3 linked regions of the Rattus norvegicus genome follow. Each later gene encodes a partner of the first gene's protein in a complex. Links are inferred from orthologs where the notes say so. Each region holds a gene or a part of one and is shown on either strand. Other genes may lie near its edges.

Region 1 (3,784 bases):
TCGAACTCAGATATCCATATGCTTGGCCTCCTGAGTCCTAGGATTAAAGGCAGACGCCACCACCGCCTGATACTTGGCCTCTGCTTGCACATCCTGCTTCTGCTTTTTGGCATGAAAGTGCACTGCCATGGTGAGCTGCCCCACCCCTCCACATCCCCACCCTCACCCCCCACCCCCACCCCCACCCCCAGCCCGGGAAGCTGTCAAGGCAAGGCTGGGGCTTACTTCATCCACTCCTCCTTGAGACAGACGAGGCACTGGTCCACCACATCCACAGACAGGTTCTGGTTGGTCAGAGCTGCCTCCATTTTATTCAGGATGGTGGGCCCAACTGGAGATACAAACACCAGACGATGCAGAGGCCTCGGTGACCCCTCCCCTCCCCGATGAAGGGAGACAGCAGCAGCACCCACCTCTGTCTGCAGCCACAGGGCTACCGCTGGTCACCACAAACTCATACTTGCTGAGGGACTGGTCGTCCTCACATCCAGCCGGGTGCGGGTTTGAGCGAGTGGCTGTGTGTACCTCCACGACAACTACGAACTCTGTAGCAACAAAACACGTGCTAGCTTGTAAAGTGTCCCTTGACCCCACTGCAAGACCCCCAGACTCAAACCTCAGGGACAAGCCTCCTCTGAGAAAGGGCTTAATGCCTTTTGCAGTTGATTCATTAATTGAATTCTTGCCTCAGTTAAATTAGAACTAACTGGTACATTACACTGAACATACATGACTCAGGTAAATTCATTCTAAGCAGCCTCAGTGGATGGTTTCACTATTATTCTATCCTGTAGACTGGTGGTTCTCAACCTGGTGGTTGCAACCCTCTTGGGGTCGAACAACCCTTTCACAGGGGTCACCTAAGACCACTGGAAAACAGAGATATTTATATTACAACTCATAACAGTAGCAAAATTACAGTTGTAACAACAAAAGCAATTTAATGGTTGGGGTCACCACAACATGAGGAACCGCATTAAAGGGTCACAGCTTTAGGGAGATTGAGAACCAATGCTGTATATGGAAACTGCCTTGAGGGTTCAGTGGCCACACACACACACACACACACACACACACACACACACACACACACACACACACACACACACACGGCTAGTGGTATAAGAACTTTACAGCCAAACATCTCTGCACAGACTGGTCCTACTGCAAACAGAGGGCACTGCTGCTCCAGGCTTGGGGCAACCCCAGTGCATCCCAGCTGGAGCGGCAGAGCACAGCCTTGCCCTAAAATCTATGACTTGGATCCAGGGGCACCCCTGGGCTGGATACAGGAGTCTTTCAGAGCAGTGGGCAGTACGTGTCTCACAGAGGGCACTCACCAGAGGCCAGGACATGAGCAGGGATAGGCACCGGAGGGCTGAGCCCTAGGAAGTTGCAGCGATAGGCCTCCTCATACTGGCTGCTGTAAGGGATGATTCGCACACAGCCTACAGGCAGCATGGTCTGTGGACAACAAGGTGCTCAGAATTCACCACAAATGCACCCTCTGCAGCTGGTCCACAGCCTCCCTCCTCAGTGTGTCCATAGTCTCTCAGCCCATGTGTAGTCTCCCGCCCAGATGCCCCCAATTCTGGTCCTGGGGGGCAGTCATAGATCAACGCTGACATGTGCTGCCTCCTCTGGGTCTCCTTGCCCATTCAGATGCTCATTGCATGGAGAAGCACTTGAGGGTTCTGGCAGCCAGCAGACATGCTGTGAGATGATCCTACACCACCACCCAACTTGAGAACAGCCATGTAGCATCAGCAAGTGCCAGTTCTTGCTCAGATAACTTCTCAGAAGAGTTTCAGGTTGAGAAAGGGAGACAGTGTAGCCGTCAACAGTGACAATACAGGATCCTTCCATGGGAGCATCAATGACCGCCATTTTTACCAGGCAAGGAAAACCAATTTTTCCGAGGCTCTGAGCTGGTGGTACCCCTAATAGTCTGTCCCAAGTCAAGCATTAGCATACAGGGGAAGGTTCTCACCCGGAGGACTTCAAATGCGGAATGGACAAGGTTCACATCTCTGCTTTTCCAGATCACCTGATTACCCATGAGGACATGCCAGGCCAACATTCGGAAAGATGGGGCTCCCAAGACCTGAAACACAGCACATAGTTCTTTAGGCATATTATAGGAACTAATCTAGCCCCACGTACTCAGACAATCTCTTCACAGTAAAGAAGCTCACGGTCAGCAAAGAGAAAGTTAATTCTCTTTCTAGGGATTCTGGTGGCCTGCTAGAGGCTGACAGGGGACAGAAGTCACCAGACTCCAAAGGTATTTCATTTTTAATATAACTCCCAACCCCGTACACTATGAAAAGTATGAAGCAAGCCAGGCGGGCAGTGGTGGTGTGTGCCTTTAATTCCAGCACTGGAGGCAGAGGCAGGCAGATCTCTGTGAGTTTGAGGTCAGCCTGGTGTCTACTTTTTGCAGCCCTCGCCCTCTCTAACACGCTGTCACGCTGGAGGGCTTGGAAGTGAACAACCAGCTCATCACTCCATCCCCAGGAAGAGGGCTCTGCCTCCACCACCAGGATGCACCCACATCCTGGTACTTGCCCAAGTCAGCTGCAACAGCCTTCTTTATAGCTGCAGTTCCTCAGAGGGGGAGGCTATCACAGGATCTGCCTGGCAGTAACTCCTGCAGCACTTACGGCTAGGAGGTAGTCATTGTTTTTTGAGGCCAAACATGAGGTTGAAACAAAACAAAAACTACAAAAAGAGGCTACAATATGTACTTTACAAACCCCAATGCCTCTGAGTACTCCCATGTGCAGCGGGAAGCACAATTCCTGCTCTGTTAACCTTGGGAAGGAACAGCAAAGTGAGCCCAGCTCAACACTGGAGAACAAAGGTCTCCCACCCTGCAATCCTGTCTCCCACCCTGCAATCCTGTCTCCCACCCTGAAATCCGGTCTCCCACCCTGCAATCCTGTCTCCCACCCTGCAATCCTGTCTCCCACCCTGCAATCCTGTCTCCCACCCTGCAATCCTGTCTCCCACCCTGAAATCCTGTCTCCCACCCTGAAATCCTGTCTCCCACCCTGAAATCCTGTCTCCCACCCTGAAATCCTGTCTCCCACCCTGAAATTCTTGTCTCCCACCCTGAAATCCTGTCTCCCACCCTGAAATCCTGTCTCCCACCCTGAAATCCTGTCTCCCACCCTGAAATCCTGTCTCCCACCCTGAAATCCTTGTCTCCCACCCTGAAATCCTTGTCTCCCACCCTGAAATCCTTGTCTCCCACCCTGAAATCCTTGTCTCCCACCCTGAAATCCTGTCTCCCACCCTGAAATCCTGTCTCCCACCCTGAAATCCTTGTCTCCCACCCTGAAATCCCAGGGCTCAATCCATTTGCCTGGGCATCAAATTTAGGTCTTTATGGTCGCCAGCACCTTTACCCCTGGGGGTCATCTCACTAGACTCCCCAGCCTCCAAAACAGAAATCATTCCTGGCTGGTCAAATAATACTAATTGGAAAAAAAAAAAAATAAAGACGTTGAGAGAGACGGCTTAGCAGGTTGGGAGAGGATTTTCCGTGTGAGATGGGTGTCCGGACAGAACCCACATAAAGCAGGAAGGACAGATGCCCCGAAATCGGCCTCTGGGCTCCACGTGTGCACTGCGGCATCCATGTGTACCTCCACACACGGTAGTAATAGTAAATAAAATTTAAAAATTCCAGATTAAAGATAACAAGAAATATAGTACAAAAAGTAAGCCCAGCACGCTTACACATGCGTATAATACTAGCACTTGGTAAACTACACAGTGA
Region 2 (3,784 bases), on another chromosome or scaffold:
GAGCATCTTTTGGGTATATGCCCAGGAGAGGTAAAGCTGGGTCCTCAGGTAGTGCAATGTCCAATTTTCTGAGGAACCTCCAAACTGATTTCTGGAGTGGTTGTACCAGTTTGCAATCCCACCAACAATGGAGGAGTGTTCCTCTTTCTCCACATCCTCGCCAGAATCTGCTGTCACCTGAGTTTTTGATCTTAGCCATTCTCACTGGTGTGAGGTGAAATCTCAGGGTTGTTTTGATTTGCATTTCCCTTATGACTAAAGATGTTGAACATTTCTTTAGGTGTTTCTCAGCCATTCGGCATTCCTCAGCTGTGAATTCTTTGTTTAGCTCTGTACCCCATTTTTAATAGGGTTATTTGATTCTCTGAAGTCTAACGTCTTGAGTTCTTTATATATATTGGATATTAGCCCTCTATCAGATGTAGGATTGGTAAAGATCTTTTCCCAATCTGTTGGTTGCCGTTTTGTCCCAATGACAGTGTCCTTTGCCTTACAGAAGCTTTGCAGTTTTATGAGGTCCCATTTGTGGACTCGAATTAAGTTATTCTTACAGCACTCCACATGTGTTCTGTTCAGCTTATGTTCTGTAGCCCTTCCTTTTTGCAGGCTGTTTCAGTGTGAGTCACAAACAACACAGGAAACGCAACACTGAGTCGACGAGTTCCTGCGGCAAAAACTCCCCCGTCCTGCCTCCCCTCGAGTGTACCTGAAAACAACCCTGGAGAGGGACAAGGCCCCGGAAGGAGGCAGATGTGGGAACTGTGCTGAGGCACAGATGCAGGTCTCTCCCTCTGTCAGTCCTAATCTGTCACACTGCACAGGCACAGTGCTATAAAGAATTACAGTCTGCATCTGTGGCCCTTCTAACGTACCTGTGTTGGCATTGCTGCTGGCTATAAAACTCACCACCAGAGGCAAACGATTGAATTGAACCACCTGAAAAGAGAGATTGAAATAGCAATGTTGCACGTACACAAATGGAAACAGCTGGTCACTGAGCTTTCAAAGCAAGTGCTTTGTACCTGTCACAGCAGCAGCTGTGGAAGAATCTCAGCTATGCAAGCTAACGGCACCATCTACTGGAGTCAATGATCTGACACATACTTTAACACTGCATAACAAGCTCTTTATTTTTAAAGTTTTAAGTACTTTTCCATAATAATTATTCCCTTTCTAAAAAAGATTAGTTTAGGCTAAATATTAAAAATTCTATCCCCCTCGTACTAAAATTTAGATCTATGCTAAAAACAATTTATACCAAAGGTGTAAAAATGGTTGGTGAAACCAGCCAAGTGTTCAGTGCTCCAAACCGAGTATACAGACCTGGTAGGTATTATAGTAGCAGATGATGCTTTTATTTTTTGAAAGTCCGAGCTTGCTGCCTTGGTCTGTTGCGAGGGCGAAAGTGGACAAGAAGCCAGGCCTCAGGGCATGTTCTGGAGCACTGTCGTTAGCCACTGGGATGAGCGAGTAAACAAACGTTATGCAGAGTAGGATGGGAAGAGCTGACAGCAAGTTCTAAAGCACACAGACCAGTAAAAGCCTAGACACAACAGAACATTTACCATTTGAAAACCCTACATTTACCATGTTGATAACTGGGTCTCAGGTCTGGGGCCATAAATAGCTGAAGGAAAAAATGCTGACTTACATGTAACAAAATGAATATTCTGGTCATCTGAGACTATAACTAATCACTATACTATACTAATCTATACTATACTATACTAATCTATACTATACTATACTAATCTATACTATACTATTCTATACTATACCATACTATACTAATCTATACTATACTATTCTATACTATACCATACTATACTAATCTATACTATACTATACTAATCTATACTATACTATTCTATACTATACCATACTATACTAATCTATACTATACTATACTAATCTATACCATACTATACTAATCTATACTATACTATACTAATCTATACTATACTATTCTAATCTATACTATACTATTCTATACTATACCATACTATACTAATCTATACCATACTATACTAATCTATACTATACTATTCTAATCTATATATACTATACTAATCTATACTATACTATACTATACTATACTACTACACTGTAGACAGAAGAAAATGGAAAAAGCTAGAAAGTCTTCCTACAGCCCAAGAGCTGGCTGCCATCTTCATGTTCCTGTCACTCACTAAGGCCAGACTAGTATTAGCTGCATCAGCTAAGTATGGAGTTTCAGTGGTTCACAGAGATTCTGTGAAAGAACAAAAGGGCCGCAGAATCACCTGAGCCCTCTTTATAGGGGTGAGAAGGGAAAGGCGGCCTGCCCACAGCTGCCCACGCTGTGTGGTGGGTGGCACGGAGTCAATGGACTCTATCATGTCTTGTCACCAACTCAGTGCTCAGCTCTGGGCAGGCAGCGTCCCCTCTGCACCTGACCCATATGCTAATGGATGAAGTGGAAGAACTAAGCCAGGTGACCTCTAAAGCACACTTCCCTCCTCATGCCTAAAACTGCCTGACATGTTTGTCCTGATGTGGAAAAGAGACTGTAAACAATGCGTAAGATGCAATCTCATCTTTAATCTTTGGTAAGGGAAATTAGCCAAGTCCACTTTGATCATGCCAGAAGAAACGAGTTCACACTATCTGTTACAGCGAATGTGTGCTCAAAAAAGCCGAGAACAGACCAAACCATGTTGGGGGGATCTGGGGTGGTCGTGAACATGATCAAAACACACTGTGTGCATGCACAGAATTCTCAAGGATTTATGCAGATGTATTTTTAAAAACGTCTCGGATTCTGATCAATGTAAATAATGATGACATTAAAGTTTTAAGAAATATATTTGTAGTAAAGACCGGCAAGATTAAAAACCACCAGTGTGAGCCAGTGCCCTGGTTAGGGGTTGGCTGCCTGCCTGCCTTGCACACCCAGTTTCCACCCTAAAGCTATGCTTAGGCTTGTGCTGTGCCATAGCATCTCAATGGGAAGCACGCAGAGTGGTCCAGACGTTACGCGGACCACTTCACTATGGGTCCCAGACCGAGGTCCCAGCAGACAAAATACGTACTTCCTCAAACCACTAAAGTGGTTTTCCCAGTTTGTTGCAATAAACTCCGCATATTTTTACTTATTTAAATACAAAACATTCCTGTCAAAAGTAAATGTGCAGGAAGCAGTCAGTGTTACCTTTAATAACAGGCACCCCATCTCTATCTGACACAACGATTGCATGGAGCCCTTCAACGCTACAAGAAAACAAAGGTCAGTATTACAAAGTCATTCTGATTTCTAGGCATATGTATCTCAGGCTCATGGTGGTACTTCTCAAGCATACATATACATACACATACACATACATACATACATATATATATACATACATACATACATACATACATACATACATATATATTTCTGTTTTCCCTCCTGTGGCACTAAAGACTGAACCAGGGAGTTGCGCACTCTAGGAAGGGCACTACTACCAAGCTAAGTCCCCTGCCCTGTTTCATGCGTGTTTCTGAAAAACATGTGTGTGTGCATGCATACCTACTTGCTAAACCATGCTCCCAGGTGTGTTTATGGACACTTTTCTAGAAATTCAATGAGTGTGCTCTGCCCTACTGAAATGGTGAGGATATTTGGTATGCATGTTAATTATTGAAGAGTTTATGTTTTATCACTCCTTGGTTTATAGAAGCAGAAAAGGGTTCAGCTGTGGCGACAGTGACAAAGGTAAAAACAAAGAGCCTTTGTCTGTTTTCTTCTCCTCACTCTTTCTGA
Region 3 (3,784 bases), about 6.0 Mb from region 1:
TCCAGTAGCACTGTTTTCTTGGTTGTACTATGCCAAAAATGATTATCGTAGAGACTCTTGTAAATTTAGTATTAATATACGAATTTCCTCCAAGTACACTTTAAAATGGAAAGATGAGGCACATTCATGAAACAAAATAAAATATTTAGTTTACTCTGTTCAACCTGTTAAATAGAAACTTGCCACCATGCTTACTCCTTGACTAATAGTTACATTTGCTCTTCTGCCGTAACAGCATCTCTGAGCAGCCTGCTCATCACCCCATTTCCCTCCCCAAACTCCTCACTCACCCGAAGCTGTGCCAGCAGCTACCAGCGACGTTGGCGACGTAGCCAAACAACAAGTTTGGAAAATGGGGTATTTCCTAGATGGTAAGTTGAGATTGAAAAAGATTGACTAGTTTTTAGAGTTTGAGACTTGTATTTTGTGTATTCGAAGTCTGTAATTGGAAACTTAAAATTTTATTACTTTTTTAATTGTAGCAAGACAGATTAAAAACAATTTTCTGTTTTAATCATTTTTACCATATGGTTCGGTGACACTAAATGCCTTCACACCATCACTACTCCTTAAGTCCTGAACTTTTTCATCTTCCCAAACTGAAGCCCTGAAGTTATTACACAGTAACTCCCTACTCTTCATTTGCCCTTTGTAATCAGTATGCTAATTCTAAACGTTTGTAGTGTAAAATTTTTTAGTTTGTCTAGATGTCTATGAGAATGTATGCCACTTGTGTACGGGTACCCATGGAAGGCAGAGGAAAATCCTTGGATCATGTGTAGACATAGGTGTGTGCACATGTGTCAGGGCACACAGAAAAGAGGCAGTTTTGAGCTGCCTAACATGGATGCTGAGAACTAAACTTGAGTCCTCTGGGAAAGCATAAGTGTTCACAATGGCTGAACTATCACCCCAGCGCTACTATTTTTTATCTCCATAAACTTATAAATACCTTGCATAAGTGGAATCATGAAGTACTTACCCTTCTATATCTGGCTTTTTTTGTTCAGTATGCCTTTGAAGTTCACCTGTGGTGTAGCATATATAAGAAAATTATATTTGTAGCCAAATAACATTACACTAGAAGTACATTTGGGGGTTGGAGGGATGGCACTTTCAGTAAATCGCTTGCTGCGTAAGCATGAGAATTTGTGTTCAGATCCCCAGCACATTACCCATGTAAAAATCCAGGTGCACCTCTTATCCCAGCACTGGGCAAGCAGAAGCAGAAGGATTCCTGAAGCTTGCTGGCCAGAACATTTAGCTGAATTGATGAGCTCCAGGTTCAGTGAACAGACGTCATCTCAGAAAATAAGGTGGCGAATCATTAGGAATATACCCAGTGTCAACCTCTGACCTGTACATACATACCTACATACGTGCACGCACACGTGTGCATATGCGTCCGTGTATGCACAGCAGTATACCCTTTCTCTATTTGTTCAAGAATACATAGATGTTTCTTCTTTTTAGCAGTTGTGAACAGCACTGCTATGAACATGGGTTATAAACATTAGTTTCAGTCTATGCCTTATATCCTTACGGGTATATGCCCAGAAGTGGACTTACTGAGTTGTATAGTTAGTCTATTTTTAAGGAACTGCCATACAGTGACTGTATGATTTCACATTCGTAACAGCAATGTAAAGACAGTCCTGAAATCTTTGTATGTTCACCAACACATTATTTTCTGCTTTAGTTCTGTTTTAGTCATGTGTATGGAAGCCCATAACCACCTGTATGTGAGACGTTATACCTCCATAACCTCCTGTATGCGAGGCGTTATACCTCCGAGTTGTACTCTACCACTGAGTTCCATTCTCAGTCCCACTCCTTAGTAATTTTCATCCCAATGAAACAGAAGTGATTCACAAATGCTTTTTGGTCATTCATACATCATCGTTAGAGGAGTAAATATTCAACCCTTTGCTGTTTGTTTTATTGTTGCTGTTGAGAAGTTAGGAGACATCTTTGAATATTTGGATTATTTGTTCTTTACTAGATACATGGTTTGCACATATTTCCTGCCATTCTGTGGATTGTGTTTGTCTCCTGCTGCTGCTCATGTACTTGAATACAGTTGTTTTTTTGTAGCATTTGTTTCTGTGCTGTTGCTGGTGACTTTTCTGTTCTATCAGAGAAATCATGGCCAAAGTTAGTACGTTGAAGCTCTTTGCTTTCTTCAGAGAGTTCTGGGTTTAAGCACTTTGTTCTTGCCCCACATATTTTAGTGCTTTAATTTTTCATGATTCTATTTAGGCAGCTTGCTCAGTCTCAAGATTTTTTTTTTTTTTAGCTTGTGCTAAAGTACAACTGTAGATTTAGAAACTTAATGTTTCCTCATTTATTTTACTTACTTTCTTTTACTTTCATCAGATACTTTTAGCTTACTTTTTGAACTGGAGTTATCTGCTTCTTTAAGACTTCTAGTAAGAAGCAAGATTCTTAACCATTTCCAACTTGATTCTGGTAAACTCTTTAAAAAAATGAAAAATAGATTTTTTTTGGAGAGGTAACAATTGTTAAACATTGTAAATTTATATTTAATTTGATGAAACAACAGAAGAGCTTTTGCTCACCTACATTGAATTAGCAGGGAGATAAACTATTGATGTTTTAAACAAAAACATTTATTTTTAAGGTCTATAGAAGAAAGCTTTAATCTGTCAGATGAAAGTTGTGGCCCTAACCCAGGAATTGTGAGGAAAAAGAAGATTGCAATTGGGGTAATCTTTTCATTATCCAAAGATGAAGATGAAAATAACAAATTCAATGAATTCTTTTTTTCACATTTTCCTCTCTTTGAAAGCCACATGAACAAATTAAAGAGTGCAATAGAACAGGTAAGTGTGGTCCTTTGTATTTTATTTCTATCTTTTACTTTGCATTTTGTTCCTTTTAATAAGAGTTACGTTTATTCATTTGGAAAACTTTGATAGGTGTCTTGAACTTACTGTACAACCTGCTCCAAGAGCTGCAAACAGATGCAGTGTTGTTAAAGGAGTTGACTGTTTTAGTCAAAGGCCTAAGACAGTTGATTCATAAGAGGCTGTAGGAAACTGGAGGATAGTGCACAGGCACTCCTGAGTTCCTAAGCTAGCAGGGAGTAGGTGGGATGGTGAATACATATGCATTTGAGGTGCTAGGCAGTGCTCTGAGGTGAAGCAGAGCAGTGTTCTTATTTTCCTTTATCTTCCATAGAGTTAAGAGAAAGAGCATTAACGTATGTAAGGTAGTAAAGGCATGGAGCTGATTTATTAGATAGGAAGAAGAGAGCGGAATGTCTGAGCCATCAGACACTTCAACAGGTAGGATCTATTTAAAAGAGATTTAAAGATGGGGCAAGGAAATCATTTGGAATGTTCCACAGAAACTCAGTAGTAACTGGGGATTTTTCTGCTGTAGGGAAGACACAGATGTTTGCTTACATTAAACCAATTAAAAATAGATAATTTTGCTGCACAAATGAATTAATACTGTCTAAGTTTTTCAAGTTTAACATTGGTCATATATATTTTTTAAGTTGGCTGCTCTCCTTTTGTGTAGATTATTAACATCAAAGTTGATAGACTTGTAGTTCTTGTATCTGAAACATTTTGAGTGACTTGAAAAACTTCTTATAGTGTTGTAGTTTGGGATTGGATCTTTTGCATTGGTTTGGTTTGGTTTGGTTGAGATTAGTCTCACTCTATAGCCCAGGCTGGTCTGGTGCTCAGTCCTGTCTTTACTTCTCAGGTGCAGGGTTGCAGTGGGCATCACCTACTTAGAAAAGAACTTTACATTG

What was found. Proteins that work in one complex are often made in the same cells at the same time.
Region 2: Flcn (region 1) and Lamtor3 share a complex: the UniProt entries of both Homo sapiens proteins name them as parts of the lysosomal folliculin complex. The link is inferred for Rattus norvegicus from reciprocal best matches to the Homo sapiens genes FLCN and LAMTOR3.
Region 3: Flcn (region 1) and Fnip1 share a complex: the UniProt entries of both Homo sapiens proteins name them as parts of the lysosomal folliculin complex. The link is inferred for Rattus norvegicus from reciprocal best matches to the Homo sapiens genes FLCN and FNIP1.

The regions. Positions count from the first base shown.
Region 1 is NC_086028.1:45,090,186-45,093,969, forward strand, and holds part of Flcn (folliculin), read right to left. Parts: intron 2,105-3,784; coding exon 1,991-2,104; intron 1,465-1,990; coding exon 1,341-1,464; intron 546-1,340; coding exon 414-545; intron 332-413; coding exon 226-331; intron 1-225. UniProt on the Homo sapiens protein: Multi-functional protein, involved in both the cellular response to amino acid availability and in the regulation of glycolysis.
Region 2 is NC_086020.1:229,091,208-229,094,991, reverse strand, and holds part of Lamtor3 (ragulator complex protein LAMTOR3), read right to left. Parts: intron 3,250-3,784; coding exon 3,191-3,249; intron 1,458-3,190; coding exon 1,324-1,457; intron 937-1,323; coding exon 873-936; coding exon of another isoform or gene 613-872; exon of another isoform or gene 1-612. UniProt on the Homo sapiens protein: As part of the Ragulator complex it is involved in amino acid sensing and activation of mTORC1, a signaling complex promoting cell growth in response to growth factors, energy levels, and amino acids.
Region 3 is NC_086028.1:39,123,782-39,127,565, forward strand, and holds part of Fnip1 (folliculin-interacting protein 1), read left to right. Parts: intron 1-235; coding exon 236-371; intron 372-2,641; coding exon 2,642-2,843; intron 2,844-3,784. UniProt on the Homo sapiens protein: Binding partner of the GTPase-activating protein FLCN: involved in the cellular response to amino acid availability by regulating the non-canonical mTORC1 signaling cascade controlling the MiT/TFE factors TFEB and TFE3.